Regions from separate parts of the Mus musculus genome. Here region 1 is reported to be linked to region 2. Evidence: microRNA targets listed by miRTarBase, many of them from high-throughput screens and not tested one by one. Region 2 holds a microRNA gene; the other region holds the end of a gene's coding sequence. Distances are from middle to middle.
Evidence for each region. The annotated mature microRNA mmu-miR-3079-3p reads CAGGCUCAUCAGAUGAAAGUC and lies in region 2 at 6,146-6,166, opposite strand. An mRNA with a match to its seed (bases 2 to 7 or 8) in the 3' UTR can be bound and repressed. Matches are read on the target gene's strand: a 7mer-m8 pairs with bases 2 to 8, a 7mer-A1 pairs with bases 2 to 7 and ends in A, and an 8mer does both.

Region 1 (15,596 bases), 24 Mb from region 2:
AATGCAGGGTTTTTGTGTGAAGATATTTCTGTATTTATCTTGGGTCATCTTTGAGGAATGGGATTACCAGTCTTATTGACAAATGAGTGCTTAGCTTTGTAAGCAATTCTAAATGATTTGCGGTGCTTTTGCGTTTTGCTGTCAATGTATTAGAGTTCTACTCTATCCATCCCTTACAACAACTGGCTTTGTAGTGTGGCTTTTGTAATAGGTATAGAGTAATACTTCACTGTGGATGTCAATTTTGTTAGTTCTGACTCTGTGCTTAGATCCTTAATGAGGGCCAGGAAAATAGGTTAACAGGTAAAGATGCTTGCTACTAAATATGGTTACCTAAGCTGAACCCCTGGATCCACATGGTAGGAGACAAGTGGTATCTGAAAGGTGTCCTCTCCTTTAACCTGCACACTCGTGCTATGCTGTGCACACATAGGAGGCAGGAGGTCTTTGTGCTCACAGGTAAACAGTAGGGGAACATGGATGTTAAGTATATAGGGTTGTTCTGTTGGATCTGGGGTCTCGCAGATGATGAGGACCATGGAGAACAAGTAGAGCAGGAACAGTTTATTTATGTGGATTTCTAAGGCTAATCAATTCGGGACGTGGCCAGACTTGGGAGCTGGAACCACAACCCCCAGCAGGCACAGGCCCTTTAAAACAAACAAACAAACAAACAAACAAACAAACAAACACCGGAAAAAAAATACAAGCAGGAGAAAGGGGTCAGGAGGGGGCAACTTCTCTCTTACAAGGATTGGCTGTGTCTGTGTCAGCAAGGAACTGATTGGCCCTGGCTAACTCTCACAGTTTACCTAAGAAGAATGGGGGTCCAGACAAGTTGTTTAAGAGCTAAGTAAGACAGGGAGCAGATGGAAGAGGAAAGGGTAGAGTTACCTTGGTCCTTTTAGTTCCTTCAAGGGAAGGAATGCAAGACCTGTTATCTGCTCAGAAGGCTTTCTATCCTGGTGACCTTGGTACTCTGCATTCTCAACCCTCCTACAGACTCTTATCATAGCCTTGTCTCCTTCAGTCAATCTGTAGACGTTATCTTCAGAAAGTGCCATGTGCACTTTTCAAACCGTTTTGATGTAGTCACATTCAATTTTTGGTTAGCTTACTTTGCTCCTCAAACATGCTTTGTTGTGCATGTAGGACTGAGTTGATTATCACCAGAACAGTTTTCACAAGGTTTTGCTGCGCTGAAATATTCCTAAAATAAACCACTCGGGGTCAGACTCTCAATGTTTGAACCAACACCAGCTACTGAGCTATGTTGAACAGAACTGTGTTCTTACCTCCTCTTGGATCATCTCTCTATAGGCTGGTGAAGGTCTCTCTCTCTCTCTCTCTCTCTCTCTCTCACACACACACACACACACACACACACACACACACACACACACACACACACTAAACAAAAGTACTGATAAAAATGTTTTTGGAGGCCAATGAGTCAGACAGAAAGAATACTGGCAATCAGACAAAATAACCGTGGTACCTCGGAAGACTCCCAGTATCACACCAATTTGAACCACCAATGTTCTTTCCTTTTTATCTTATTGATAATTATTATCCCTTTTTTTTCTCACAGAGGAGTGAAGAACCAGTGTTATATAGAATGTTTTATTTTAAAGCAACAAGCATGCATTGACTTCACAGCCGGAGGAAGACTATGTAGGAATCATGGTTCATTATTCTTAGTAACAGTGGCCCTGATTTACCCAAGTGCAAGGCTGCCTGGCTGGAGAGCAAACCATCACTTCTCCTTGCAAGAAACTCTGTCTGCGTCTTGAGTAAATGTGATGTGGCGACTTTTAGGATCCCTCTGTAAGAGACAGATGGTATGTGACTTTTGCCCCCTTTCAACTTTGTCCTTTTTCTTTTTTTTTTTTCAGATAAAATATTATAGGTTTATTTAAAACTTATTTCTCACCTTGAGTATGCAAAATACAAATTCCACAAAATGTTCATTTTTTTTTTTTGCTTTGTAGTTTACAAATATACAAAATAGAAGTGTACTTAAATGCATATTACATATTTACTAAGGCAAGGAACTATATAGAAAAACACATTTGTTCTGCTTAAAGGCATACTTGGGAATAAACCATTGTACAAATTATTGCACATCTGAACCCACAGTGCATAACAGACTGTCTGCATAAAGATGTTACAGAAATAAACCAGGCTTATTTACTTGGCTTAGGTCATCAATGTAGATCGGAAGACAAAACTAGATTTTCCTTGTCAAAAGTATGCAGCAGTTGGAGAACTTTGGCTCCCCCGTTTGGTACCTTTAGGACCACGATTCACCAAGCACCATCATTTAGGCTGTTAGAACATGTTCTGTACCTGAATCGCTTCCTCTTCCTCTGACACAATAATGGCTTTTTTTTTTTAAGAAGGCAAAGAGCATACAAGGTGATCTTTACGTGTGTATTGCATCATTGAAACATAATTCAAGGGAATCCTGGTCTTCCCTGCCCCCAAGCTCACTGATTTAATGTATACCCTGATATCCACAAACTTCCAATCACCCCTTGGCATTTTGTAAGTCCGGGCATGTTCAAGTTGGATTTGGTATTGGAATGATAGAAGATCCAGTCTCAGACCCCATCTGTTCTGAGATTTTTTCTTAACTTTGTCCTTTTTCTTACCTCATAGATAGAACTGAAAAGATCACCTTGGTTAATGAGTGAACCTTGACGGGGGTGGAGGTGGGGGGCTACACATAGAGGATCAGTGAACTGGAAGTAGCCCGAGTTCTTGAAAACTACAAGTCCCATAACAGCCCTGAACCACTCACCTGCAGGGTTTTATATGACTCAAATAGACTTCTAGTTTGTTGGTCCAGACTAAAGAATTGCCCTTAATTCTTCCCCCTGCCACCATTTTCACGTGGAGCAAGAACTCCCCATCTTTGCTTCTGTCTTCCACCTGTGGCTTCTGCTGGCTCTAAGCCTGTGCCTCCTAATGGTATCAACATTTCTGCCTACCATGTATCCCTTCGTTGGATGAGCAGCTCTGCCTAGCCTACCCTTTTGGATCTCTGATACTGATGGCAGGGTGTTATGCAAGGACACAGGTGGAGTAAAACAAACCCACATGTTTTGAATGAGACTACTGAAGCTTTGGTGAAAGGTAGGGGTTCAGCTGGAAGCAGAAGGGAGCAAGCTCCAACCAAACAGTGATCAGACAGCTCCTTTAATGCAGTAGGCCTGCATTTCATTGGGAGAGGGGGACAAAGTTTGAGTATTATCTATTCGTCATAGGCATGGATAGAGTTTTCTAAAAGGTCTTCCTTGTGCTCAGGTATTCTGGCCATGAGTCGCTGAACTAATGAGTAGTGACATAAGGCAGGAGCTGGTAACACTTTTCTATTGGTAGTGTCATCATGTCTCATGGTGATGAAATGGTCTCATGGTTGCCTGTGTGCCTTAGGATAAATCTGGGATGGTGGATGCAAGCTGACAAGAAAATACAAGGACACAGTAGAAGAAAAACCTCATTCTAACAGGCAACAGGGGCAGCGAACCACAAACTGTAGTCTCTGACAAAGCATTGGTCAACATGTCTCCATGCAGAACTGATACAGATTAATATACCAATCGAAAGCCAGTTACAGTTGCATAGCTGTAATCTTAGCACTTGGGAGCTAGAGGCAGAATGATCAGGACCTCAAAGTTATCCTTGGTTGCACAGTGAATTCAAGGGCAGCCTGGGATATGTGAGGTTCTATCTCCCTCCCAGAAAAGACACCAATGGAGATAGACAAAAATGAAAATGGAGATGCCAAACCTTTTAGTTCATTTTCGTTATTTACCAGTTTTCTGTTGGGACCAGAACGAGTTGGTGATTTCAGGAATAGTAGCCTTCAAGTTGCTGTAAAGTAATATACCTGGCTGCTAACCATAATCCACATGTCAGACATGTTATTATTAAAGTTGGTGGGAAGACAATGTGCTGCACAGCTGTGTGACCTCCCAAAACAGGAATTTCTTTTTTTAAGTCAAATAAGAACGTGCCAGACTAACAGACCTATATGTGTTTTGTCTAGTAACAATTTCCTATTGGCTTTGTCATTTGTGTGGCCTTTTCAAAGCCTGCTAGTATCATCTTGGTTTGGTCATAAGGGGCCTCTATAGTGTGTAAATACCCTGGCCTTATCCAGAGTTTTATAACGAAGCTATTGAAGAGAATACAGGAATATACATATCACATTTTTAATAGGGTTCTTTTGACTCATGCAGGTAGTCCCTGGTACTTCACCCCACGTCCTGTTCAAGCAGGGGTCATCACATGACCTTCCGTTAGAAGCCATTGCTTAGATGCCACAATTCAATCCATGGGAGAACAGTAGCACAGCCATCGATCCTAAAGGATTATGGTTCAAGTCAATGAGCTTCGGGATGCTCTATCAGGTAGGAGTAATGTAACTGGCACACTGGTTTAAGCTATTGCCTCTGTGCCTCTTTACTATCCAGAACTGAAACAAATTCTAAGTAATGTGGATGCAAAGCCATATAATGCAAAGCTTAAGCTTTGTGGGAAAGCACTGTCAACATGGAAAACTCGACGACAAGGTTGATTTAATTGGAAAACTCTTCTTAAGGGTCCTGTAACAAATGCCTATCTCTAAAGGGAAAATAATCAAAATTTACACTTAACTTGCTCGTTAATGTCGTATATAGACCATAGACACAACGCATTGCTTTAATAAAAATAATTCACGTAGGTGACTAAATAGTTACATAACAGACACCTAAATGACATCTTTGAGTTATTTTATTCCACCCTCCGACTAGCTCTGTAGCATAGGTATGTGTAGAGAGGAGCTGTGTGTTTGCTTAGCAGATTACTGTGGAAATGGTCTATAAGCTTTGCTCAGAAGGCTTGCCTCTCCTCACGCCCAATGGTGTTGGTTTGTCTCAGACAGGTCTCAAAGTCTAGATCTGGACACTCAACCCAAACCTGAAACTTGAAGGAAGCCTGACAGATACCCAGCTTGATCTAATTCTCCAATTTAAGTTCTTTGGTGTTACACCAAAGATTCCAGCCAGGCTGCCCACAGGAAATATTGTAGTTAAGCAAGTGCCTAGAGCCCTCTCCCTAATAAAGACACCTAACACTTTTGGTTGGGTATTTATTTTGTTTCCAGTGATTCCTCTACACAGTCAGAGCTGGATGCTTTATTGCTCAGTATTCTGCAGCTGATTGTCAAGGTATGTGTCTTAATAATTATTATTGTTATGTGTCTTTGTTTGTTTGTTTGTTTGTTTGTTTGTTTGTTTCGAGACATGGTTTCTCTGTATAGCTGTGGCTGTCCTGGAACTCACTCTGTAGACCAGGCTGTCCTCGAACTCAGAAACCCGCCTGCCTCTGCCTCCCAAGTGCTGGGATTAAAGGCATGTGCCACCACGCCCGGCTTAATTAGGGTTTCCATTGCTATGAAGAGTTCCATGACCAAGACAGCTCTTACAAAGGCAAACATTTAATTGGGGCTGGCTTACAGGTTCAGAGGTTTAGTCCATTATCATAGCAGGAAGCATGGTGGAACACAGGTAGACATAGTGCTGGAGAAGGAACTGATAGTTCTACATCTTGATTCAAAAGCAGTTGGGACTTGAGCATATATATGAGAACTCAAAGCCCATCCCTACACCAGCAAGGATGCACCCACACCTACTCCAGCAAGGACACACCTCCTAATAGTATTACTGTGAGCCAAGCTTTCAAAGACATAAGTCTATGGGGGCCAAACCTATTCAAACCTCCACATTATAGGCCTGGGGTGGTTCAGAGATATACCAGTCAATATATTTTAACAAGGAAGATGTTTTTATTCATATACTGGTGCCAAGTCTTCACCAGGGACTCTGGATTTTTTGTTTGTTTGTTTGTTTTGAAACAGGGTTTCTCTTTGTAGCCCTGGCTGTCTTGGAAGTCCCTTTGTAGAGGAAGCTGGCCTCCAACTCTGAGACCCACCTGGCTCTGCCTTCCCAGCTCGAAGATTAAAGGCATGTACCACCTTGCCTAGCTAGCCCTTAACATTTGAAAGTCAATTTTGCTTTATGGTTCTCTTAAGCACTGCAATTTTAAAGCTTTAAACATACAGTTAACCATCGACATAATTAATATTAGCTATCTCCATATGAATTCTGACATTCTTTTTTTCTTGTCAAGGTTTAGTTATTTTCTTGTTCTCTCTTTTTCTCCTTTGCATCCTTCCTTTTTTCCTACTCTAACAGGACACAGGCTTCTGTCCTGATAAAAGCAGAAATGACCTCTCAGAAGAGTTTTAGAGTGGCTGTGGCAGAGCACGGTGTAATGGCTCCCACAAAATAACCCATATTTAAGTGCTGTGGTGTTGTGTTAGTTTCCTCTGAGATCGAAACATTCAAACCTACAGAGAAACTCCTCAAACCCGAACAAAGTAAGCAACCCAATATAGCTTCAAGAAGTCCCTGAAATTGATCAGATTCGCTATTCTTCCAGAGTAAGCAGAAAAGAGGGCTGAATTTCAAGCAAGCCAAGATGCAAAAAAAGGAGGCTTTAATAAATCAAGCTGCAAAGAGGACCCCCAGACAAGCAAAACTCAAAGAAGACCCCTGCACAAGGCAAATCGCCTGGAAGAAACAAACCAGCAGAGCTGCCGGGAAGAGCTGAAGCACCTGGAAGGGACACTCTTCACCCTTCTGAGCTGCCTACAGGCTGTGCAGTGTGCTCCAGGTTTCCAGCTTCTGTGAGCTGTCACCCATGCTGATGTGAGCTTTGGTGATGCAGCTGTCTGAGTTATTTCTACTCCCATATGTAAACTCTCACCCATATTCCTGTAAGTAACTGCAATGAAGCTCATTGGTTCATCAAGTTGGGCTTTGGTATATTCATACTCTGATCTATTGTGGGCTTCCTATCCAGGGTGGATAGATTTGTGTATTGCATCTCCCAGGAAATGTATTGTTCCACAACATACAGAGCACACACACACACACACACACACACACACACACACACACACACACACACACACACAACCTCCACTCAGACAAAGGTCTGACCATAAGGCAAAGCAGGGAGAAATGGTAACTTGCAGAGTTATACACAGTAATGTTTCAGTTAGGAGGGAGTAGGGGAAAGAAACAAAGGAGAGGGGGCAGTCTACCCCCAAGGGAGACAAAGGGCTGCCTAGGCATAAAAAGGAGACAACAGATGTGACCCATAGGAAAATGGCAGTTTATAATGGTAAAAGGGGAAACTCCATGTCAGGATGAGGTGTTTAATTTTAATTGGGCATACTAATTAGGTGAGCCAAAGGGAGCTTTTGATTGCTGGACTGCAATACTTTGATAGCTGGACCTTGGTAGTCAGCCTCGAAAGGAGGAAGTGGACAAATAAGGGAATGGACCTTGATGGCTAGCTTTAGGAATGTAATGTAATGGCTTTTAGGAAGGCAGACGGAATGTGGGAGCATGTCTGCCATGCTCAGGTTGGCTAGAGTCCCTTCACTAAGTATGGCTTTATTCACGCCAACATGTACATTTTATAACTGCCTTCTGTGTTGTTGGAGAATCTCCTGCATCCCTAGGATGTGTTTTGATAATGTCCCCCCTTTACATCCATCTTATTCCTTTACCACTCACATGTGCTCTATTTTTAGACCCACAGAGTCCATTTAGTGTATTTTTTAAAAAGTGGTGGTTATTTATTTCACAATGCTTTGGGGGCAGGGTGGAGGAGTTGATCTATATGTGAGGTGAATGCGCAAGCCGAATGAAGACCGCCACTTTCTTACAGTACATCAAAGACAATCGCTGTGATCTAGGTAGTCATGAGCTAGTTATAATGCTTTGAGACCCTGGAATACAGATGATGGTAGATTTCATCTAAGTCAGTTTTGTTCATCCAACATTCATCAAACTCACTAAATATGGGCCGCAAATGGTATTCGCCACTGCTACAAATCAATGGTGATATAATTTAAAGGACAATATTTTACAAGTATTGTCCTAGCCTGTGGCGATATTGTAAGATGTTGGTACTTGTAGGTACAGCCTAGTAGGAGTGTGCCCTTGGCTGCACACCCTAGAAGAAGATACTGTGATCCTACCCTTCCTTTCCTTTCTTTTTCTCATTACCATGAGGTGACCAGCCACATCCTCCCCCAATAACGTATGGTGTCCCCACAGGCCTAAGCAACAAGGCCAAATATACATGGGCAGAAACCTCTGAAACAATGAGCCAAAACCAACATATCCTCTTTTATTAGTGGTTTTGTCTCAGAAGAGAAAAACTAACACAAGCATCATTTTTTTAAAAAAAGTCATTGAACTTCAAATGACATCCTAGTGGCTGTTTGAAGTGTCTAAAAGTACCAACACGGGGGGTAAAATCACAGTAAAACCCCATCTGCTGTGGTCAGAGCTGCTCTGTCTGCCCAGCTCTCTGGCTTACCACCATTCTAAGGAGGCTCAGATGGGACAGGGCATGAATGTGGGTATCTAAATCTCAATGATGCTCTTGGACATTCATCTTTATGCACAACTCTTTCTGAATGTGGAAAACTAACAGGCTAGTGTGGACATGATTGCTCCATGGCTAAGCTGCACCCTGTCCCTGTTGCTTTCCATTCCATGGCTTATATTTGCTAGTTCGGTTCTAGAGACCAGAACTCCCTCATCGCACCAACATTATCATTGTTGTGAAATGGTTGTGTAAGATGAGGAGTATTTGGAAGCTATTTATCTTCTTGGCAATTACTACCTGTGGGTTATCTGGAACATTCTGGCAACTGAATGAAACAGATGGCAGCCTTCTGACTGCATCGGACAGAGGACAGGGAGCATTAGGCTGGCAGAGACCCACTTGAGGTGAGTTCACCAGAAGAATAAAAATAACATATTAGTATACAAATGGCTTGTCAGAACATTTTTCTCTTTGAACGAAGCCAGTCAATATTCTCTTTTCTTCTTTATCATCCAAACCACAGAGCATATTTTGTTTAGTCCTCGTGATTACTCAACTGATTCACGCATACTGTGTTTACCATATTTTCAAACTACTAAGATATAATTAATTTAATCTAGACAGAGTCAACTAAGTATACAAGATCAAATGATGCTACTGTATTCTCATGGTAAGGTATCAGTAGCAAAATTAACTTTACTCCTTTCATTTCCCACCCAACCCCCCAAAAAACCTCTTTGTCTCTTTCCCTCCTATCTGCCCCCATTTCCTTTGCCGTAGAAATCTACAAATCATTTCTGACTACAGAGTCCCTTATTCTTCACATTTTATAGAAATGTAGTCATACAATACTCGATCCCTTGGTTTCTTCCAGGTAGCAAGTTTTCAAGGCTCAACCATCTCAGAGTTTATGACTTCTTTATGTTCTTCTTTCCTGCATGCAACACTCCATTTCACTGTGCTGTGTTTGCCGATGGGCGAACGCTCACGATGTTCCCCCTTTTATTGTTATTAATAGCGCCACTGTGGATTCTTGCATATAAGTTGCATTTGGACATCTGTTTAATTTCTCTCAAACATATACCCAGGAGTGAATCTGCCAGATAATGTTGTAAATGCATGTTTAACAATTTGAAAAACTGCCAGACTGTTTTCCAAGAGAGTTGCCGTTTTAAAACCACGCTAACAATATATGACGGTCTGGTTTTTCCTTTGCACTCGCTTGCTATTTTCTGTCTGCTTGGTTATGGCAGTCCTACTGTGTGAGGTGATGTGATGCATTATCATGGTGTACTTTCCATTCCCCTGGCAGCTAATAATATGGAGCTTCCTTGCTTGTGCTCATTGGCCATTTGCAGATTTCCTAGTACTGGGTCTGTTTGTATTCTGTGCCCATTTTAGGCACAGTGTTGTCTTTTTAGTATTAGCTGTTATTCTATTTTCCACGTATGTCCTTTACAAGATACGTGTTCCCTCTCATTCTACTGCTTGCCTTTTCTCCTTCACAAATAAGAGGAAATTTGAAGGGAATTAAAAGATGGAGAGAGTACTTTTCAGTTTGCCAAGACAGCAGTGTCAGATGGGACTTTCATCGGACCGGCTTTAAAATGTCTTGGTATTGGTAACTCAGTCCCTTTCATGAAGTCAGCATGTCTGCCTTGCTCAAGCACGGAATGATGGCAGTGATCTCCGCAACTCTGCCCATGAGGGCCTAGCTTTGGATTTAATTTCCTACTAGAAGAAAGCCCGACAGCTTCTGCTTGACTTTTCCTACCCTAATAACCTGTTGTCTAGATGTCAGAGACAAAATGACCATACATGCAGTCTCTAAGTGTGTCAGAAGCTCAAGGGAAATACCAGTGAGTTCACAAGTCTACTGTGCTTTCTGGCCTGGAAACTTGATTTGTTTATCATCTAATCACAATAACTCCCAATGTGGAAGGGAGACTAGTAATTGGGTCCAAACAATAAAACTGAAATGTAGACTAAGTGGTATTTGGAGTTTAAGCAATGACAGTTATAGTAAGCACTCTTACCATTTCTTTTTGTCCAATACTAGTTAAAAATCTGCTTAATAACATAGTGTCTAGTGTTAAGAAATATTTGTTGCATTTTTTAAAAGATTTATTTATTTATTATATTTAAGTACACTGTAGCTGTCCTCAGATACTCCAGAAGAGGGCATCAGATTTCGTTACGGATGGTTGTGAGCCACCATTTGGTTGCTGGGATTTGAACTCGGGACCTTCGGAAGAGCAGGTGGCGCTCTTAACCACTGAGCCATCTCGCCAGCCCCCAGCATTTTTTTAAGTAACAAGAATTTCATTCTGTTTCATGTGTTTCTTCATGTGTGTGTTTGTGGTGCAGGAGATGAATTCTTTTCTCATAATGAGCACTCCACCACCAAGCATCTTCTTAGGCCTGGTCTTGTTGCTATATTCTAGTAAACCACAAAGTCTTTTAAAGAGTAAATTTAAAACCTAAATTTTATGGTTTACACTAAGTACTTGTTCAAGAATTATTTAAGAAGCGTAGCAACGCCTAGATTTCAGCTAAGCTAGTAAATACTGGTGTAAGTCATCCTGGCCACAGGCATCTTTTCTAAGTGGCAGATTTACCCGTTGTATAGGAAAAGCAGGTAAGACCTTACATAAGGAAGTGGAAATGTGTAACTTGGCATAGACCTTTCACTTCACAATTTTGGTGGGTGCTGCTGTAGTCATTTCCAACCCTCCTAGTGGAAAATTCTCATGTTCCTCTAATGAAGTAGTACATGGGTGGCAGTATTTTAAAAGTTCTAAGTCAACGTTACCAGCTGGGTACTCTGAAACCCACCTGATAGATGTATTGCAATTAGCCAGTACTTTTTCTTAAATCAATTGAAATTGTTCTTAGACAATTTTATACATTCAAAATAGATAGTGGCCACTCTCGCCTTCTGTCCTGCACGGCCTCTCCTTTCCCCCTGATCTCTCACTGTGACCAGTGCTGTCTAGGTGACCATGCTTTTGAAGCTCTGCAATAGAGCATGGTGGGCTCAGCAGTGGGTACACAGCGAGAGACAGTGCTTCCCCCCCCCCCCTCTCAGAATCTACCAGTCGCAAATGGTTCAGAAGTAAATGGTAGGGCCCCTTGAGCCCCTTCCCCCACCTTGACTATTAATGAGGCCTATGTTAGATGGGTCCAGGGCAGGTAACAAGATTGGAGTTAATAATTTCAGTGATTGCATCTAGTCTAGAAAACAGCGTTTTGCAATCCCTCATCCCATCTTCTGGTTCTTAGTTCACTTCTGTAAGGCTTCTTGAGCCTTCGAGGGGTGGGATAATTGTCTTGTTTAGGGCTGTGGGTCAGAACTGTCACAGCTGCGTCATGGGGAGGCAGGACTCTGTATTCAGCACCACTCATTGCTGAGAGAGGATTCTCATATTATGGCTGGGAACCTTTTGTTTGTGGGTATAAGTGTAGATAGTAAAAGGTTGTTTGATGCAATGTCAACTTAGAGAACCATCAATATCAGTTTAACCATAATAAGCTCTCCACATGGCCTGACTGCCCAGGGCTTACGGTACCAGGAATGGCCCCTCAGCACCCTTCCCCTTCTCTGTGGAGTGGGCTGGGGCATTTTCATAGTTTTGGATGGGTGCAGCCATCCTTCTGGCCCTTCATTTACATCTAAACTAAAAGTTGTAAGGATTTTTGTATAATAAAATGGCCTATTTTAAAGATTTTAAACATTTCTTTCTACTTACACATGAAAAACTATTATTAAACTTGTCAAATCACAACCATTTTATTTTACATAAACCTAGACATTCAATTTTCTAATTGAATCAAATAATTTGGACACTTTATCAGAATACCCAGTAGAACATTATTTTAGAATTCTTGCCATTGAGGGATAGTATTCAGATCAGCTATCAGAAACAAAAATCAACACATTATTGAACCTGTGGGGCTTAAAAATGGAATGTTTTCCTTAGGACAATAAATAAACAAGATTTAAGAAAATTGAAGTGAACTTCAGCTAGGACTCATGTAGTTTGTAATAAAGGCAGTAGATACTCTCAAATATGGATTTCTTACTTGCTTTGTGCTTTATTACAGCAAGGGAATACAAGAAGAAGAAAAAAAGCCTACCATGACAGTTCTCCAGAGGACAGTACCTAACAATATCTGAGTAGCATGCTCAGCAGAAAGCACAGCCACACTGGAGGACATCAGGAGAACCCAGCTAAGTATTGCATGGTAAAAATGACTTCAAACTATTGGATGAGTGTAACTATATGCCATGTTACTGGGCAATGAAGAAGCCCAACGCTATTAGTTTCAGGAAGAGCAATGTAATAAATTTAGCCACACTACATGTCACCTTGCTCAGCCATGCACAATGCTAAAAACGAGTTTATGACCAATAAATACTACAACACTTGTTTATTAGGAAAATGTAAGGTGCTATAGCCATCCTTTCCAGGCTATTGAGAGCAGACGGTAGCATTGTATTCAACAGTTAGTTGAATGTGGAGGTTTCTCCAACTGTCAAAGATACAACTTTTATCTTAAGCTCTTACAGATTTTATTGCCATATACAAAATAATGGGTAAGCTATCCCCCTTTCCTCCCTTAGAACTGACTTTTACAAATGACATTAATTTGTTTTGCGTGGAGGTGTGGAGGTAAGAAGACAATTTTGGGAGTCAGGTCTGGTCTCTAGGTCTCAGGGACGAGGTTCAGTTATCAAGGTAGGCAGCAGGCGTCTTTACCCACTGTACCGGCTGGTTTTGTGTGTCAACTTGACACAGGCTGGAGTTATCACAGAGAAAGGAGCTTCAGTTGAGGAAATGCCTCCAAGAGATCCAACTGCAAGGCATTTTCTCAATTAGTGATCAAGGGGGAAAGGCCCCTTGTGGGTTGTGCCATCCCTGGGCTGGTAGTCTTGGGTTCTATAAGAGAGCAAGTTGAGCAAGCCAGGGGAGGCAAGTCAGTAAAGAACATCCCTCCATGGCCTCTGCATCAGCTCCTGCTTCCTGACCTGCTTGAGTTCCAGTCCTGATTTCCTTTGGTGATGAACAGCAATGTGGAAGTGTAAGCAGAATAAACCCTTTCCTCCCCAACTTGCTTCTTGGTCATGATGTTTGTGCAGGAATAGAAACCCTGACTAAGACACCCACTGAGTCATCTCACTGGCCTTAGGACTGACTTTTAAAATTATGTGGTGCTGGGGTGATGCCTCAGTCAGGACCTTACCTGCCGTACTACTGTGAGGAGTTGGGTTCAGATCCTCAGACTCATACAGAAAGCCACATTCAACAGTGAATGCTGTCAATCCCAGCACCAGAAAGGAGACAGGAGGATCTCTGGGGCTTAACGGCCATCCAGGACCACTTAACTGGCAAGTTATTGATTCAGTGAGAAACTCTCTCAAAAAATAATGGTAGAGAGTGATAGAGAAAGACACTTCATGCTGACCTCTAGCTGCTTCATACACACGCTCACCCCCCCCCCCCACCGCCCAACAAGCTCACAAACACTACTGCACCTACACACACAGAGAGAGAGAGAGAGAGAGAGAGAGAGAGAGAGGCTCACAAACACATACCACTCATATACCACACACATACACAGCACTTGGAGGGTGAGAAGGGGAGAAACTGGAGATAATTTTATAATAAAAATACATCCCCAAAGCAACAACTGAAGATGCACACTGACAAACCCAACTATTCTTTACTTTTGGCAAAAGTGTATGTAGCAGTAGTAGTTTACAAAAATAAGTTAGTCCTCTGGTATACACATTTTCACAGTTTGAACAGGAAGTTAGTTTCCACTGTCTTCCAGAGTATCCCCAGCACACATCAGCCTTCTGCACCCTGCTGCTCAGAAGACACTTTCAGGGTGGATCTGTTCCGAATCCGTTTCCTTTTCCTTTTCTTTTCGGAAGCAGGGGACTTTGTATCCTGTGCTTTCTTCTTTTTCTTCAGGCAGCTGAGAGGATTGGGGCCGCCCACCTTCTTCTTTTTCCTCCTCCTCCTCCTCAGGTCCGGGTTCCGCACCAGGCCTTGCTCCTCCTTCAGTTGCTTGATACTCTGTTTCTCGTGCACTGAGACCAGCTGACCCGCCTCGACCGCCTTCACAAAGGCCACTGTTCTGGGAGAAGGCTTGTCCAACACTATAGTGTTCTGAATAATGAACATGAGAGGAATTCCAGGAGTCCTCTTGACTTTCACAGATAAGTTCTGATCCTATTAAAAAGGAAAGGGGTTTGGTTTCTCAATCAAAATTAGAACCTAAAATTAAGTTTCTATTAAAAAAGGCTAGATGGGGAAAAAAAGAACTATATGTTTTCTTTTTCAGATGACATGTCTTATTAATCAAAATGTATCTTACGGTAGAGGACAGAAAACATAAAGACTAAGCAGAATGAAGCCACTCAACAGCAGTCGGGGCTGGATCAGTCAACACTCTGGGCCCACGAATTATCAACCAATGCAACAGAAAATACATTAGAAACTTTCTCTTGCCTTTCCACTAGATATTCTCTCGAAACATCGACAAGGGAAGAGGTTGGAGCAGAGTAATAAGCTGACTCCACAATCATATCTGTATACCTCATGTGTGCCTAGGTGGCCGTAAGATGGCGGTGGGTTCCTTGAGACTGTAGGTACACATGGTTGAGAGCAGCTGTATAGGTGTTGGGAATTAAACCAAGAGCAGCCAGCTCTTAACCCCTGAGCCATCTCTGCAGCCTCCTGATGCTAATCTCAGAGCACATGCACCATGAGCTGAGAAGCAGGAATTCAGGAACATGCTAGGTTATGAGTCCAGAAGGCAGAGACTGCCCGACTCCTCCCTGCTTGAAGAACCGTGACGCAATCAGCACACTACTGCAACAGCTCCTCAGCCTCTAGAAGGAAACTTCTGAAGGAAAAAAAGTCCCCCAAACTTAGTCTCCTCCTCATATGTTCAAGTAAGTACCTTTATTGATCCCATTTTAAAATGTACATTTTTAAAAGTCCAAACAATGAAACATGAATTAGCTAAGTGACTGGAATCCTCTCTAATACACCACAGTAAGTAAATAAATAGAACTTCAAACACTACATTATCTCTCCCACTTACTTTTCTTTGTACTGCAAACA
Region 2 (15,596 bases):
TGGAGATGGAGCGGAAGACGCCCCACCGAAAGTCTAACAAGTTACCTGACAATCCCCGAGGTCAGTAACACTACAAGGGATCGACATGAGTGTGGTGCCGTTTCCCTCATTACATACTCTGGACTGCTCACCACAGTCCCACCCTGCTGAGACCCTCTGTCATTCTCAGACACAAAACAGCTAGTCTGTGAGAGGCTAGTGGGGGAAATCGCCTTCCAGCTAGACCGAAGAATCCTGTCCAGCATCTTCCCAGAGCGCGTACGTCTCTACGGCTTCACTGTCTCCAACATCCCAGAGAAGATCATCCAGGTGTGTGGCTATCCGTCTCCCACATTGCCAGAGGAGCCTTCACGGCCTTCACGGATGGGGCAGTAAGCTCAGTCGGTACTGAAGGACCAGGCATTTATGGGGAGGGACTCTGAGATGGAGGGAGCCCATAGCTGTGGGCTACAGACTCTAGAAGAGAGAGGGATGGGATTTCCTCCAGGGAGGAGGGAGCACTCCTCTTCCACCTCCTAGTTGGTCTTTGGCTGAGCAGCACCAACCCCTGGGGTCTGAATCAACAAACCTAAAGAATTCTATAGCCCGCTGCCTCCAGCATCCCCAGTGCTCACTGAGAACACCACAGGGAACTGGCAAGGGGGTAAGGACTGGGGATATGGGTCTGCACTTGGCTGGATACCCCTGCCATATGAGACCATGCAGGGCCTATCCCTGTATACATTTGAGCTTTTCTCAGCGGGAAAATGGCTTTCCAGCTGCTTATTCTCTTAGGCCATCTTTGTGTACAAATTATGTTGTAATGACTTCTGATTGCACAGGCTGTTTTTTAAATTTTGTTTAATGTATGAGTGCTCTGCTGCATATACATCCACCTGCCTGAAGGGGGCATCATATCCCCCTATAGATGGTCGTAAGCCACCATGTGATTGCTGGGAATTGAGCTCATGACCTCTGGAAGAGCAGTCAGTGCTCTTAACCACTGAGTTATCTCACCAGCTCCACAGGCTGATTCTTAGCTTGCCTTTTCTTGGCTAAAGTGTCCTTTCACTAGATACAATTTTTTGTTTGTCTGTTTGTTTGTTTGTTTGTTTGTTTGTTTGTTTTTTGAGACAGGGTTCCTCTGTATAGCCCTGGCTGTCCTGGAACTCACTCTGTAGACCAGGCTAGCCTCAAACTCAGAAATCCTCCTGCCTCTGCCTCCCAAGTGCTGGGATTAAAGGCAGGCTCCACTGTGCTTAGTTTAGATAATTAATTTGAATGTGTTCAGAAATGTCAGTCTTTCCTCACGTTATTTGTATTGTCTCAATTAAGAAACTCTCCCCTAGCTGGGTGGTCTACAATGTGCAATCCAGGGCAGAGAGGAGCTGCACAGAGAATTCCTGTCTCAGGAAAAGAAAAAAAAAAAAAGAAAAGAAAAGAAAAGAAAGAAAGAAAGAAAGAAAGAAAGAAAGAAAGAAAGAAAGAAAAGAAAAAGAAAGAAATCTTCCCCTAGCAGAAACTCCTGAAACTATTTTGTATTCCTTAGTCAACATTTTCTCCTAAGGGTTTAAAGTTTGAGTTCTTTCTTCTCTCTCTCTCTCTCTCTCTCTCTCTCTCTCTCTCTCTCTCTCTCTCTCTTTCTTTCTTTCTTTCTTTCTTAAAGATTTATTTATTTTATGTATGTGAGTATACTGTCGCTGTCTTCAGACACACCTGAAGAGGGCATCAGATCCCATTACAGATGGTTGTGAGTCACCATGTGGTTGCTGGGAATTGAACTCAGGACCTTTGAAAGAGCAGGTTAAGAGTACTCTTAACCGCTGAGCCATCTCTCCAGCCCAAAAGTTTGAGTTTTTAAGAAAATCTTCTTACAGATTTATTTTTCTTTTATTATGTGTATGGGAGGGTTGTCCAGAGAGGCCAGGTCTCCTCGGTTGTGAGCTGCCTGGTGTGGGTGCTGGGAACCAGATTCTGGTCCCCAGGAAAAGCGGCAAGTGCTCTTACCAGCTGAACCTTCTCAGCAGCCCCTCAAGGGTTTTTGTTTGGTCTTGAGTCTTTGACTCTCCTATCAGCAGTCAAGCTAGAAGTTATAAGCTAAGATGTGTCTTCTCTCCAGCTCAAAAACACCTGACTAACTCCAGAGACCACCAAGACACAGAGTGCACTCTGCATCAGGATGACTCTAGGGCTAAAGGGGCAGCCCCTGGGACTGAGGGTCAAGAGAAAAATGACAAGGAGACAGAGGACTGTGTGGACATGATGGTAGCAGAAAATGAGTGCTTTTCTTTTGAGGGGCCCAGCCTGTCTATGGAGATCTCAAAGGAGTTCCCTTTGGTCAGTTGGTACAGCCTCTGAGAGCTCAGAGCTGCCAGAGCAAAGAAGATGCCCAGTGCTTGCCAGCATCCCTCTTAGACTTGCATCTATGAGGGCTCCTTTGTCTGGGTCCAGCTCTCCTTGTCCATTTTGGAGGAGACTGTAAGAGGAGGAGGAGGAGGAAGAGGAGGAGGAGGAGGAGGAGGAGGAGGAGGAGGAGGAGGAGGAGGAGGAGGAGGAGGAGGAGGAGGAGAGGGTGTGTGTTATGATGGGCTAGGATGAAGTGGTGTGTTGGTTGGGCATGTGAATCGAGTGAACCAAAGGGGTTTTTTGATTGCTGGACTTCAACACTTTAATATCTAGACCTTGGTTGTCAGCTTCAGGAGGAGGAAGTGGCCAAAATAAGGCAAGATACCTTGGTAGCTAGCTTTAGGAATGTAATTTGATGGTTTTGAGTAAGGCAGAGGGAATGGAGAAGGGCAAGGCCTGCCAGAGCCATATTTGGCTGGCCAGAGTTCCTTCCCATTTAGTCTATATAACAAGACAGCCATGTTCCTGGGTTTTCTGTGGAGAATCATTAGCCACCAACTCAATCAAAGAGGGTCCCGTGGTGTAGCAACAGTGACCACAAGATACCAAGGGGCAGTTGGCATTATAGTCACCTAGCAAGGATGACCTTAAACTTCTGGCCCTCCTGCCTCTACCTCCTCTGCTGGGATTAGAGGCGTTCCACCTAACCTGGCGTTGTGAGAAGCTGGACCTCTTGCCTCAGCATGCTTGTCATTCCGCCCAAGAGCCTGAGTCATCTCGTTTTACTTCTGTCAGCAGTGACCCAGAGACTCTCCTTCCTCTTCCGGACAGCTCCACTGAAACCCTCCCGGAAACAAAGTGGCCTCCTGGAGCTAGGCTGATACCTAGCCATATCCCTCTATGGAGTCTTCCAGGCCAACTCCTGTGGTCACATTTGGAAATCATAAATTTACCCCCTGGCTTCAAGGGTCCCCACCCACCTGGCTGGGCCTTTGGTTGAGTCTCACCTGCACCTGATTCCAGTTCACCCAAATTTTATTTCCCCCTTTCAGTGTATCTTCTTTTCCATCTCCCCCCACCCCCAGGGTCAGTGGTTGTAATCCCTAAATTCTACCCAGACCTGCTAACACTAGTCAAAGCCAATATTGTCCCTACAAGCCACTCACTCTCCAACGCTGTATAGGTTTAGTGGGTTGAAATTTAATAGATATTTTTGATAAGGACCCTGACTTTCCACTAAATCTGGCTGTCTTTTTAATTAGATTGTACAGTTACACTTTCTTTTGGCTTGAGTTGGTTTCATCATTGTTGATTTTTTGGCTTGTTTGGGTTTTTGTTTGTTATGCTTGTTTTTGTTTTTCTTACTGTGTAACCCTGGCTTGCCCAGGGCTTGCTACGTAGCCCAGGTTGTCCTAACACTTATAGTGACCCTTCTGCCTCCTAATTACATAGATTACCACTGGTACCACTGTGTCTTTTTTTTTTTTTTCCTAAGTTTCATCTGTATTTTTGTCTATGGGGCGCTAGTGGTGGTGGTATATGTGTGTGTGTCAGTTTAAGTGCCTGAAGAGGCCAGAGGTATTTGATGGAGTTACAGGTAGTTGTGAACCACTGCACGACGTGCTCTGGGAGTTAAACTTTGGTCCTCAGCGAGAACAGTACATGCTTTTAATGGCTGAGCCATCTCTCCAGCCCAGTTATGCTGTCATTTAAACCCAAGGAGAAGTGGGCCACAGCTCTCTCTGTTCTCATTCTTCCTACCCAGTTGTGAAGAACTTTGTGGAAGATATTTGGAGTGTCTTTTCTCTTAGCATCCTAATCCTAGGGGCCTTGAGTCCCGCCGTGTCCGTGTCCATGTGAGAGTGACTAGGGCCATGTTGTGTGGCGAAGGGCGCCTTGACCACCGCTTATGGGCTCCTGAGAATGACTTCACTTCTACATACTGCTTTGGTATCCAAGCTACCTTACGTATCCAAGCCCTCTTAGGCATTCTAAGAACCTGTATATCAATTTAATTTTTCTTGGGAACAATCATAATGTTTCTCTAGGCAGTTATATTTTATCTACCCTTTTGATAAAAATGTTTCAAGCCTCAGACCTATGGTCCTCCTGCCTCAGCCTCCTGAGGGTGCCCACCCTCTATGTCCTTTCATTTTTACATATTTTGATTGTTGAGGCAAGATCCTGTTGAGTAAGCAGCGTAGCTGGCTTGGAACTCAGACTAGTCCCAAATCTTGCTGTGGTCCCCCTCCCTCTTCCTCCAGAGAGGTGGGGTGACAAACATGCACCATTGTGCTCAGAGAATGAATGAATGATTTACTTATTCGTTGAGACAAAGCCTTAATGAGTGTGTATCCCTAGTTACTATGTAGGGATACTATGTAGCCCAGGCTAGCCTTGAACCTGAGTTAATGTACCTGTCTCGGTCTCTAGTTCCATATGTATAGGCATTAGCCACCATGCCCACATATTCTTTTAATCTTTAAAATACTGGGCTGGAGAGAGGGCTCTATGGTTAAGCACGTGTACTGCTCTTCCAGAGGACCCAAGTTCAATTCCCAGATTCCATATCTGGTGACTCACAACTCCAACTCTAAAGGTTTCCAAACCCCTGCCTGTGTGGGACCCTGCATTTGTGTGTACATACTCAGGGACTGACACATACATAAAATTTAAAATATATATACATGTTTTTATTAATGTTGAACCAAGAAATTAAATATACTTCATAAAAATTGATATATGGAACTGATACAAAAACCATTCAACTCAGCCGGGCAGGGGTGGCACACACCTTTAATCCCAGCACTCGGGAGGCAAGGCAGGTGGATTTCTGAGTTCGAGGCCAGCCTGGTCTACAAAGTGAATTCCGGGACAGCCAGGGCTACACAGAGAAACCCTGTCTTGAACTCCCCCCCCCCAAAAAAAACGAAACAAAGCATTAAACTTAGTGCTTCCATGTAGCTCAGCTGATAGAAATGCTTGCCTAGCGATACTACATAAACCAGATGTGGTGCTACATGCCTTCAATCCCAGAACACACACAGTTTTACTGCTGTGAACAGACACCATGACCAAGGCAACTTTTTTTTTATTAGATATTTTCTTCATTTACATTTCAAATGCTATCCCAAAAGTCCCCTATACCCTCCCCTCTGCCCTGCTCCCCTACCCACCCACTCCCATTTCTTGGCCCTGTCGTTCCCCTGTACTGAGGCATATAAAGTTTGCAAGACCAAGGGGCTTCTCTTCCCAATGATGGCTGACTAGGCCATCTTCTGCTACATATGCAGCTAGAGACACGAGCTCCGGGGGTACTGGTTAGTTCATATTGTTGTTCCACTTATAGGGTTGCAGACCCCTTCAGCCCCTTGGGTACTTTCTCTAGCTCCTCCATTGGGGGCCTCCACAGGGAGCATCCACTTCTGTATTTGCCAGGCACTGTCATGGCCTCACAAGAGACAGCTATATCAGGGTACTGTAGCAAAATCTTGCTGGCGTATGCAATAGTGTCTGTGTTTGGTGACTGATTATGGGACGCCCCCCCCCCCAAGGCAACTCTTAATCAGGACAACATTTAATTGGGGTTGGCTTAACAGATTCAGAAGTTCAGTCCATTTTCATCAAGGCAGGAGCACGGCAGCTTCTAGGCGGGCATGGTGCAGGAAGGGGAGCTGAGAGTCCTACAATTTATTCCGAAGGCAAACAGAAGACTGGCTTCTGCTAGGAGGAGGGTCTTAAAGTCCACCCCCACAGTGACTCACTTCCTCCAACAAGGCCACACCACACCTACTCCAACAAAGGCCACACCTAAGCTAAGGACTTTCATCTGATGAGCCTGGAGCCAGGTGAATGGGAACTCCAGCTTAGCTCATCAGATCAAAGTCCTTAGCTTGGCAGAGGTTGTCTGGGAGCACAGTGGGGTCTTCTAGAGAAGGCTTAGGCTGGAGCTCTGTAGTCTCCCCCTCCCCCTCCCCTTCTTCCCCCTTCCTCCTGTTCCTCTTCTTTCTTCTTCTTCCTCCTCCTCTTCTTCCTCCTCCTCCTTCTTCTTCTGGTGCTTGGTGATCCAGGCCCTTGTGAAAAGGTCAGCATTCTACCAGGCCTTAATTCTTTCCTCACCACAGATCACACTGGCTACTTCTTTTTGCAAAAATATACAAAGCAACAAATGCCACAGGCCACCTTCCCTGCATCTATCCGAGGAGCGCACTGGCCTTCTCATTGTGCTCCTCCCTGCCTGACAGATTTGCCTTCTTAGACAAATCATCCAGTGTGCTTGGCTGCAGACAGCAACTGATGTACACAGATAGGGATTTAATATAATAGGGTCCCCAGCTCCAGGAAAGACACAAAATCGCGTTTGCCGTACTGCCCAGAAAAATGTCAACACACCAAGGGACTTTCCCAGTGAATATACCAGGGGCACCAGTCCCAACACAGCAGAGAGATCAGGTGGGTGTCCCCAGTTGAGTACAACTGTCCCTGAAGAGCCAGTGCTATACCCATGGTGCCCCCCAGAGACCTGCCACCTTCTATGTGGAAATACGTCTTCCCACATGGAAGTCCCATCAGCCTGTCAGCATGGGCGTGCTTGGTAGAAATGTCAGTACCTTGACTCCACGGGGGCCTCGGGAAAGGTGATGTTCAGGAAGACCTTCCTGCCCTGTTAGAACGGTGTCTGTTATTCCAGGTTAAGTGCTTTCTATTAGCTCTTGGGAAAGCATGCAAACTCTGGGGTCTGGCAACCTGAGAGTATGAAGAACTCCCTGTGCCCCCATACTGGAAGCCACATAGTCCCACATAGCTGGTGGAAGGAAAAAACAAACAAAACAAAAAAACAGTGGGATGCATGTCTCTAGCAGCTTTGGGGAGCCTCTGGGCCTGCCTGAGTTGGGTTTTTGGGTGCCTTGACCTCAGGCCCAGCCCTCTGGACCTTTCAGGGACCATGGCTTCTCCTCTCTTGGCATCCTCATAGCAATACTTCACAATTTCCTTTCCCCCGGCCTCCCTTGCCCCTGCTCTTCCCGCCTGCCTGTGAGCCAGGGTGGGGTGTGTGTGTGTGGGGGGTCCCTGATGGCCACTCTCCCCAACAGGCCTCCCTAAACCCCAGTAATCACAAGTTGGATGAGGACCTGTGCCAGACGCTCACACAGCGTTACGTGAGCATCATGAACAAGCTGCAGAGCTTAGGCTACAACGGGCGGGTGCACCCGGCACTGACAGAACAGCTGGTCAATGAGTACGGCATCCTGCGCGAGCGGCCTGAGCTGGCGGCATCTGAAGGTGGCTGCTACACGGTGGACTTCTTGCAGCGTGTGCTATTGGAAACCGTGCACCCCAGCAAGCTCACGGACGCCCTCCTGCTGCTCTCCTGCCTCCATCAGCTGTCCCACGATGACGGCAAACCTATGTTCATCTGGTAACACCCGGTGCCCGGCTGGCCCAGGCTCACTTCACCCTGTAGGCCATTGTGCATGGCCATTAAAGTTTCCCACAGACTCTGGTCACTGGGCCCAAGCCACACCTTCCTGCTCCAGTGGGGTGGGGTGGGGGGGCCACATTCACATTACAGCCTCCCTGGAGAGACAGAGCTCTCAGACACTGTCTTTCTAATGGGATTAAATGGAAGGTCCCAAATTCCCTTTTTACTTGGTAATGAAAACAGAAGTTCTGGGAGCGGAGGAAAAAAAAGAGGGAGTAGGATCAGGAACAGGGAAGGGATGATGCAGAAAGAAAGGATACTTCCCTGTTCTTAGCAAAGGGGTAGGGAGCCTCAGGGCCTTGGGGCAGGACAGTAGAGGTAAGAGAGCCAGATGCCACCTCATCCAAACCTGGGCAAGGGAGCCTGGGAGATGGCAGCCCCTTGTGAAGATGCCCAAGGTCTGAGAAAAGGATGGGTTCTGTCTAAGCATGGGGGACCAGAGCTGACCAGAGAATGAAAAACATGGGTTGGGGGGGATAGGGCGAGGGATTGTGGGAGGGGGGACCAGGAGCAGGGGGCATCTATGGGGATGTAAAATGAATAAATAAATGAAAAAAAAGGAACATGGGTTGGAAAAATTGGGGCCCTTGTGGGAGGGGGGTATTGAAATCAATGGGTAGGCTGAGATTGGAAACATCGTGGTGTTTCTAGAAGAGTGGAGACCAAAATGGGGTTGGTTCATGAGAAGGGCAGTGTGGAAAAGCCTGGAGTAGTTTCTGGCTTGCCTGAAGTTGCAGGCGCTAGGGCAGTGACAAGGCAGAAAGGAATAAAAGAACTAGGGACTTAGAAAACCAGTTCTTGCCAGTCAAGGAACAGCAGAGCCTTGGGGGGGGGGGGGCGGATTCAAACAGGAATCTATCAGTACCAATACAACTTCCGGTTAGAAAGAGGCATGGTTCTCCAGCTGGGATACCTCGCCCCACCCCCACCCCCACCCCCACCTGCCCTGCAGAGTTCAATGCCTTCTGCCCAGACTGCCCAGCTCATCAACAGTTGCCTTCATCCAAAGTCTCCAGGACTATCCTGGCAAGCCGGCTGAAGATCGCCAGCCAAGACAAACCTGATGGGTTACTTAAGAGACACTGATGGTCGATGTCAGGGTGTTTGCTGGCTCACAGCTGGAGTTAAGGAGTCAGACTTCCAAGGGGAGCCAAGAAAAGTCTGTGAAAGCCCAAGGGATCATTGTCAAGAAACTAAAGTCAAGAGGGGCGGTGCTGGTACATGTCTTTAATCCCAGCAATCCGGAGGCAGAGGCAGGCAGATCTCTGTGAGTTCGAGGCCAGCCTGGTCTACAGAGCAAGTTCCAGGACAGCCAGAGTCACAGAGAAACCCTGCCCCGAGAAACAAAACAAAACAAACAAAAATAAAACACAGAATTAAAAGAACTTAAGTCTGTTACAGGGCTCATAGAATGGAGGATTTCCTTTTACCTGTCTGGGCAAGCTGCCTCAGGTGTAGAACTAACGGTCCCTCCCCGGGTTTGAAGTCTCAGCCTCTGCAAGCCATCGGTGCTGAGTCTCTGCACTAAGCCAGGCACCGGATTGAGAGGCTGTGGTGAACCTACCTGGCTGTGAGTAGTCAGGCTGTAAAGTGTATTGGAGGGGTGGGGGAGGGGAGAGTAGGCAGGGCCCTAAGTTTTTCTCCGAAGCACTAAGTGGACCCCCGCAAGTACAAGGAGGAAATAGGGCAGGGCTGTAAAGCTCGGATTTCTTTTACGGGTTTTTTTTTTTTTTTAAATTGTTGTTCGTTTCCAACCGCCACAGAAGTTCTGAGTGGGTGGGGCCAGTGGCCAGCACTCAGGCTCGCGGGACGTCCGGGCATTACTAGCGGCGCGCACAGGTTGTGCCACCTGGTCTTGACCTCCGCCGCCGCTGGAAACCAATGAGTCTCCCTGACATTTCGCGGCGAAGGAGCCCAGTGCCCCAAGAGGACTGGCCCCTGACACCCAACGCCCTGAGGCCTTCACCTTTCCCGAACCCAGTGCTGCAAGCCCTCTACAGTTTATCCCGCGTGCTGCTTTTCCCGACTTACTGGTCCCTGGACCAGTTGCTGGGCTGCTGGGCACCAAGCGTCCGATCCAAAAGCTTGGGGTGGTTCAAAGTCCTGGCAGGAAGTGGGGTGTTGCTACCACTGGTGGTGGTCGGCCTACCCTTAGCGTTGGTCGGCCTTGCGCTCTGGCTGCCCCTCCAGGTCTGGCGCCGCCCCTTCTGCTATCAGCCCCCTCCGGCATGCTGGGTGTGGCCACAGCCCTGGCATCCGCCTGCTGAGCGCCGGCGCTGCTTTGTCTTTCTCACTGCTAATCTGTGCCTATTGCCCCACGGGCTGGCTCATTTTAACAACCTGTCGCACAGCCTGCAGCGCGCCGAGGCTGTAGGGGCCGCACTGCTAGATAGCCTTCAATCGTCACAGTATAGGGTTTCCGAATGCAGTCAGCCGCCGCCTAGGGTGCCTGGTGGTGAGCTGAAGGCCACATTACCTATGGGCTTGGACTTCGTGTGTCTGCAGGAAGTGTTCGACCTCCGCGCAGCTCGTCGTCTTGTGCGTGTCTTGGTACCAAATCTGGGCCCGGTGATATATGATGTGGGCACATTTGGCTTAATGGCTGGGCCGTACATCAAGGTACTGGGCAGTGGGCTTCTACTGGCCTCGCGCTACCCGTTGCTGCGTGCCACCTTCCGTTGCTTTCCTAACGCTCGTCGCGAGGACGCCATGGCCTCCAAAGGTCTACTATCAGTCCAGGTACTAACCCAGGCTGCAGTGAGCCCTAGCGGGGAGAGCGTAAGCAATAGATTTAACCAGGAGAGCAAGAAGACCTGGAACTGTGGGTGGTGTTGCAGGCGCAGCTAGGCATCGTGGACGGGCACCCCATCGTGGGATACCTTCATTGTACACATTTGCATGCACCCGTTGGTGAGCCCTGCAGGAGGGTTTGAAATGTGGGTAGGTAGCCCCTCTTCTCTCCTTCGAAGGCAGTAGGTCCCTTAACCTTACCAACACGTCTGTCCCCACATCCCAATGTTCTCTGCCCCAGACATCCCAAGAAATGCCTTGGGTGGTTTACAGATCAGGACCCACAGGGTGAGGTCTTAGATCCCTACTCTGGGCTAAGCCAACTTCATCTCTCCTCTCAGAGGATGGACATATTCGCTGCAAACAGCTAACGCTGCTGCTGGAATGGGTGGAAGAGTTCGAGGCTGAGAACCGGCAGAGTGATGAGGCTGTAGCCTTCAGCGTCCTCCTGGGAGATCTAAACTTTGACAACTGCTCCCAAGGTAAGAAGCTGGGGTGAGGTGGAGCCAAGAGACCCAGCTCTGCCCACTGAGAAACGGCTTTTCTCCACAGATCATGCCAAGGAGCAGGGCCATAAACTCTTCAGCTGCTTTCAGGACCCCTGCCGGCTAGGCGTTTGCCAGGAACAGCCCTGGGCCTTAGGTACTGCTGCTGGGTAGGTGGGAGAACAAGTCTGTGGGATGTCTGTCAGCAAGGTGGCCTGCTGCTGAGTCTGCTCTTCCCTGGACTCCACAGGGACAATCTTGAATTCCTCCATGCTACGCCACTCCATTGCCTGCTCCCCAGAGATGCTTCGGAGGTGAGTGGACTCCTTGAGCCCCAGGCACTACTAGGCCAGCTGAGAGAAACGTCCCTAGCCTCAGGAATGCTGTCCCTCTCCTAGGGCCCTGAGACAGGAAAAGGGGCGCCGCCTGTACCTGTCAGGGCCCCTTCATGGGAGTTACCCAGCTCAGTCCTGGAAGGGCCGGCGTCTGGACTACATCACCTACCGCAGAGTACCCGGGAGTCGCCTGAGCCCAGTAAGTGCCTCACCTCAGGGCTGCTGGGCTTGCTTTAACTGAAAACACCTCTCAACTTGACACCTGCCCGGCAGGAGGCGGAGCAGGTGACATTCAGTACTGCCTTTGCTGGACTCACGGACCACTTGGCTATGGGCCTGAAGCTTCAAGTGGTATGCTCCTGACGCTGGTGCCCAGACAAGGGGATGAATGTCGAGAAAGACCACCATGGGGGGAGCGGAGCCCAATAACCCAATAACCATGCGACTCAAAGGATCTTTATTGTGGGGGCACTCATACTGCTTCCTGGGCGCGGCGGTACTCATACACACTGCCTCGCTCTGGGAAGGCTGGATATAGCGGGGGCGAGCCTGGTGGTGGTGCTGGGTCCTCCGGGTCTCCATAGCCCCCACCCCCAGGCGTGTGGAGGCAGAACGCGTCCTGAGAAGAAGAGCAAGTTTTAACACAGGTTGCGTCCCTGTCCCAGTTAAGACACAATCACTCAACCACCCTATTTCCGTTTGGGAGCCAAATTAAATTTTTGTATCCCTATTCACACAAGGCTCCCTCCCTCTCTTACCCCGGGATACACAGTCACGGATGTCTTGCCGCCCAGATTCACTGTGCGCCCATCTTTTCTGATCAGGAGGTTTAAGCCACGTGTACCAGGCTCTCCCCCTGTAGAAGGAGAAAGCAAGGAAGCTTGGGGGTCAAGAGAGGTAGGGGTAGGGAGATGGGATCAAAAGAGGCTGGCAAGGGCTGGGGAAGCCACCCACCGTGGAGGCCATAAGGCTGGAAGGCGCGGCGCTCCGTGAGGACAGACAGTAGCGCCTCTTCCCGAAAGACCAGCTCTCGGACTACGCCATCACCTCCCCGGAAGCGGCCTCGGCCTCCAGAGCCTGGCCTCAGCTCAAAGCGGCGCAGGATAACTGGATACCTGTGCAGGAGAAGGGCACAGCGCATCTGAGCACGGGCTCATCTCCCAGATCAACTGCCCAGCACTGAGTGCCCAGCTCACCGGCTCTCCAAAATCTCTGGGTCCGTAATGCGCGTGTTGGTCATGTGACTGTGTACACCACTGCGCCCATGCCAGCCAGGGCCTGCACCCGCACCACCAGCTACTGTCTCATAGTAGCCCATACGGGCATTGCCCAGGGTCACATTGTTCATGCAGCCCTGATAGAAGCAAATAACAGCATTTGGTTAGTGGGCGCATCTACCCCCACCACCCTGCTTCCCAGCAGCCCCCAGACCTGTGTCCACTTTTCTCCACCACACCTGGGAGGCTGCACAGGCCCCAAAAGCCCCCAGGATGACATCCACGACTCGCTGAGATGTGAGCACGTTGCCTCCGACCACTGCTGCCTCTGGGGATGGATCCAATATGGAGCCTTTGGGAATTATGACTTGCACAGGAGCCAGGCAACCCTGGTGAAATGACCAAGGTGGTTAATTAGGGCTGGGTATTACCCAGGTTCAGATAACAATTCCACCACTCTAAGCTCCGTTCATATTGGGCTGCCTTTGTTTTCTGGCAAGCCCCCTCACCACACACCTCTACGAACCTGGTTAAGTGGGATGTCACGGCCCACTAGACAGCGCAAGCAATAGATGAGAGCAGACAGTGTTATGGCTCGAGGGGCATTGAGATTGCCAAACACCTCAGACCCAGAACCACTGAAGTCAAATACAGCGCTGCCCTACCCAGAGAAAAAAGGTACGGCAATCAGCAACAGAATGGGCCTCACCCCAGAGGCCAGTGCCAGTGCCCTCCCCACTTCCCTCACAAGCGAACCTGATTCAGGTTGATCTGAACATGCAGGCAGATGGGAGAGCCATCGTCCATGTGATCCTTGGCAGACACCTCCAGGGGCAGGCCCCTGGCCTGGCGGGAAGTTCCAAAAGCACGAAGCATGTCTCGCACTGCTAGTTCAGCATTTGCCTAGCAGAAATAAGGTTCAGCCCCGCCATGCCATCTGCAGGGTAGCCCACCTACCTTGGGGCAGCCACAAAACTGCCCATGTATGTCCCTGTTCCCAGGCCCACCTGAATATGGCCCATATAGGCCTGCACCACATCTAAGCCATACTGTCCGATCAGCTCTCCCACCAGCTGGATGCCTTTCTGGTTAGCTGCCACCTGGGCACGGAGATCCGACAGGTTGTCATGCAGGTTCCTGGTCCCACTGCAGCCAGAGATCTTGCCTGGGGCCTGTAAGGCCTCTGTCACCGCTGGATGGGTAGAGTCACAAACTGAGCCATCTCCCATGCCCTCAGGAACAGGTGCCTGTGCCTGTCTGCTTCATAACCACTGGGCACTGGGAGCTCCCTTCAGACCTTTCACTGGCGTGCCCCACCACACACACACACACACTTCGCAAACTCTTGGACTCTGAAGACTGTAGGCTCCATCCTTCTGCTGAGCCGTCTTCTGCAGCCCAGCATCTAGAGCACCTTTGGCAAGTAGTTGTGCCAAAGACTTCCCTGGAGCTGGAGGTGGCTTGGGAGAGGGTGGGTTCATCCCTTAGCAAGCTCATCCATTGCCTTCTCTAGGTGCCCGTCTTGCAGAGTATTTGATAGCACTATGAACCCCAAGATTGTGTTATTTATTGAAAACACCATTTATGTGGCTCAGCTCTAGCACACACCTATAATCCCAGCACTTAGGAAGGCACAGGCCTGTCATCCCAAACAATGAAGGTAAAGTTAGTTTATAGAAGGAAGCAGTCATGTTTGAAAGAGACGGCTAATTTGACCAGCAGACAAAGTAACAAGAGAAAGATTTGACAGAATAGGATATGTCCAACTCTCATGAAAAGAGGGAGGGAAAGGAAACTAAGTGGCACAGAGGGAAAGGGAAAAGAAGGCAGTTTTACCGACAGTTATGGAGAGACAGACTGCACAGAGAACAAACTAGACACAGGTGAAGACAGAACAAATCAGAGAATGAGAAGGAGCCAGAAGATTAGCATGCTAAAGTTAGTATGAGGCCAAGAGAGAAGTCAGATTGAACCAGTCAGCTTGGAGAGGAGTTGGAGCCAGAACAGCTGAGTTGAACCAGCCAGCCAGAGCTCAGAAAGAACTTGAAAGGGTGAGCTTATTTAGCAGTAGGTCTCAAAGGCTGAAAACATCCTAGGCCTAGATAAGAGTGTACAGAGACTAGACACTTTGAGGACTAGGCCCAGGTTAGCAGACTAAGGCTTAGGTAAGCCTTGGAGATGACAATTACAACCAGGGGAACAGAAGATGCTTTTACACTCCCCTCTAAGTCTCACAGGAAACGTCTGTCCGCAGCGTGCCCCACACGCACCACATCCTGTCTGCTCTATGTCCTGCCCGCTTCCACTGGCCTCTAAGGATTTCAAAACTATAAGGCAGCACAGGGCTGAGATATGCGGGGCTCGGAACCTAACAGCTCTTGATGCTCTTGGAGAGGATCCAGGGCTGGTTTCCAGCACCCACACAGAGGAGGGGGCTCATAACTGCCTATAACTCCAGCCCCCCAAGGATCTTATGCTCTCTTCTGATCTCTAGGGACACCTGCGTACATGCGATGCACTCAGTCAGGCCAACACAAGCACATAAACCCTATCAAACACGGCCAAGGAAGTCCTGTTTCCACACCCAGGGGAAAGCCCTCACTTTCCAGCCTCTGTCAGGCCTTCTCTGAGGTCTCCTGGCCACTTGGACTCTCAGTCACGTGTTTACACTTATGTCCCCGTGATCCGCTACAGCGCCCCGTGACCAAGGTTACCCTATGTGCCTGTGAGCTACCCACACTCTCGACCATGCCCCCTTCACACCTCAACTCCAGGATGCCTTATCGAGTTCTCAGACCCCTGTGACCTCAGAGCAAGGCTGTCTCTCCCAGTCTTTCACCTTTCACTCAGCACAAAAGCTCTAGCCGGTAACTATCCAAGCCTGATCCCACAATCTCCAGATCATATAAGCTTTAGTCCCCAGACAGTTCCTTCCACCCTCTACCTTCTGGGTGGATATCCA

Region 1: miRTarBase lists Utp23 as a target of mmu-miR-3079-3p. Seed matches in the 3' UTR shown: 7mer-m8 at 14,039-14,045.

The regions. Positions count from the first base shown.
Region 1 is chr15:51,881,254-51,896,849 of GRCm38, reverse strand. It overlaps Utp23 (UTP23 small subunit processome component), which reads right to left. Exons shown (of 3, transcript NM_030132.5): 3 at 12,228-14,699. The coding sequence ends at 14,313. Gm34678 (a long non-coding RNA gene) reads left to right here. Exons shown (of 6, transcript XR_003951502.1): 2 at 1,592-1,841; 3 at 4,248-4,418; 4 at 5,156-5,219; 5 at 6,493-6,829; 6 at 12,565-12,577. Among named protein-coding and RNA genes, the nearest start is that of Gm48923, 8.0 kb to the left of the region's middle.
Region 2 is chr15:76,284,746-76,300,341 of GRCm38, forward strand. Mir3079 (microRNA 3079) reads right to left here and starts at 6,223; the gene lies at 6,134-6,223. Spatc1 (spermatogenesis and centriole associated 1) reads left to right here. Exons shown (of 5, transcript NM_028852.1): 3 at 1-60; 4 at 170-309; 5 at 7,419-7,827. The coding sequence ends at 7,748. It overlaps Smpd5 (sphingomyelin phosphodiesterase 5), which reads left to right and starts at 9,627. Exons shown (of 7, transcript NM_001195537.2): 1 at 9,627-10,546; 2 at 10,645-10,717; 3 at 10,939-11,079; 4 at 11,150-11,239; 5 at 11,333-11,396; 6 at 11,481-11,616; 7 at 11,691-12,151. The coding sequence starts at 9,689. The coding sequence ends at 11,780. Oplah (5-oxoprolinase (ATP-hydrolysing)) reads right to left here. Exons shown (of 27, transcript NM_153122.3): 20 at 13,642-13,826; 21 at 13,391-13,537; 22 at 13,161-13,295; 23 at 12,874-13,023; 24 at 12,614-12,771; 25 at 12,372-12,532; 26 at 12,176-12,273; 27 at 11,858-12,036. The coding sequence ends at 11,890.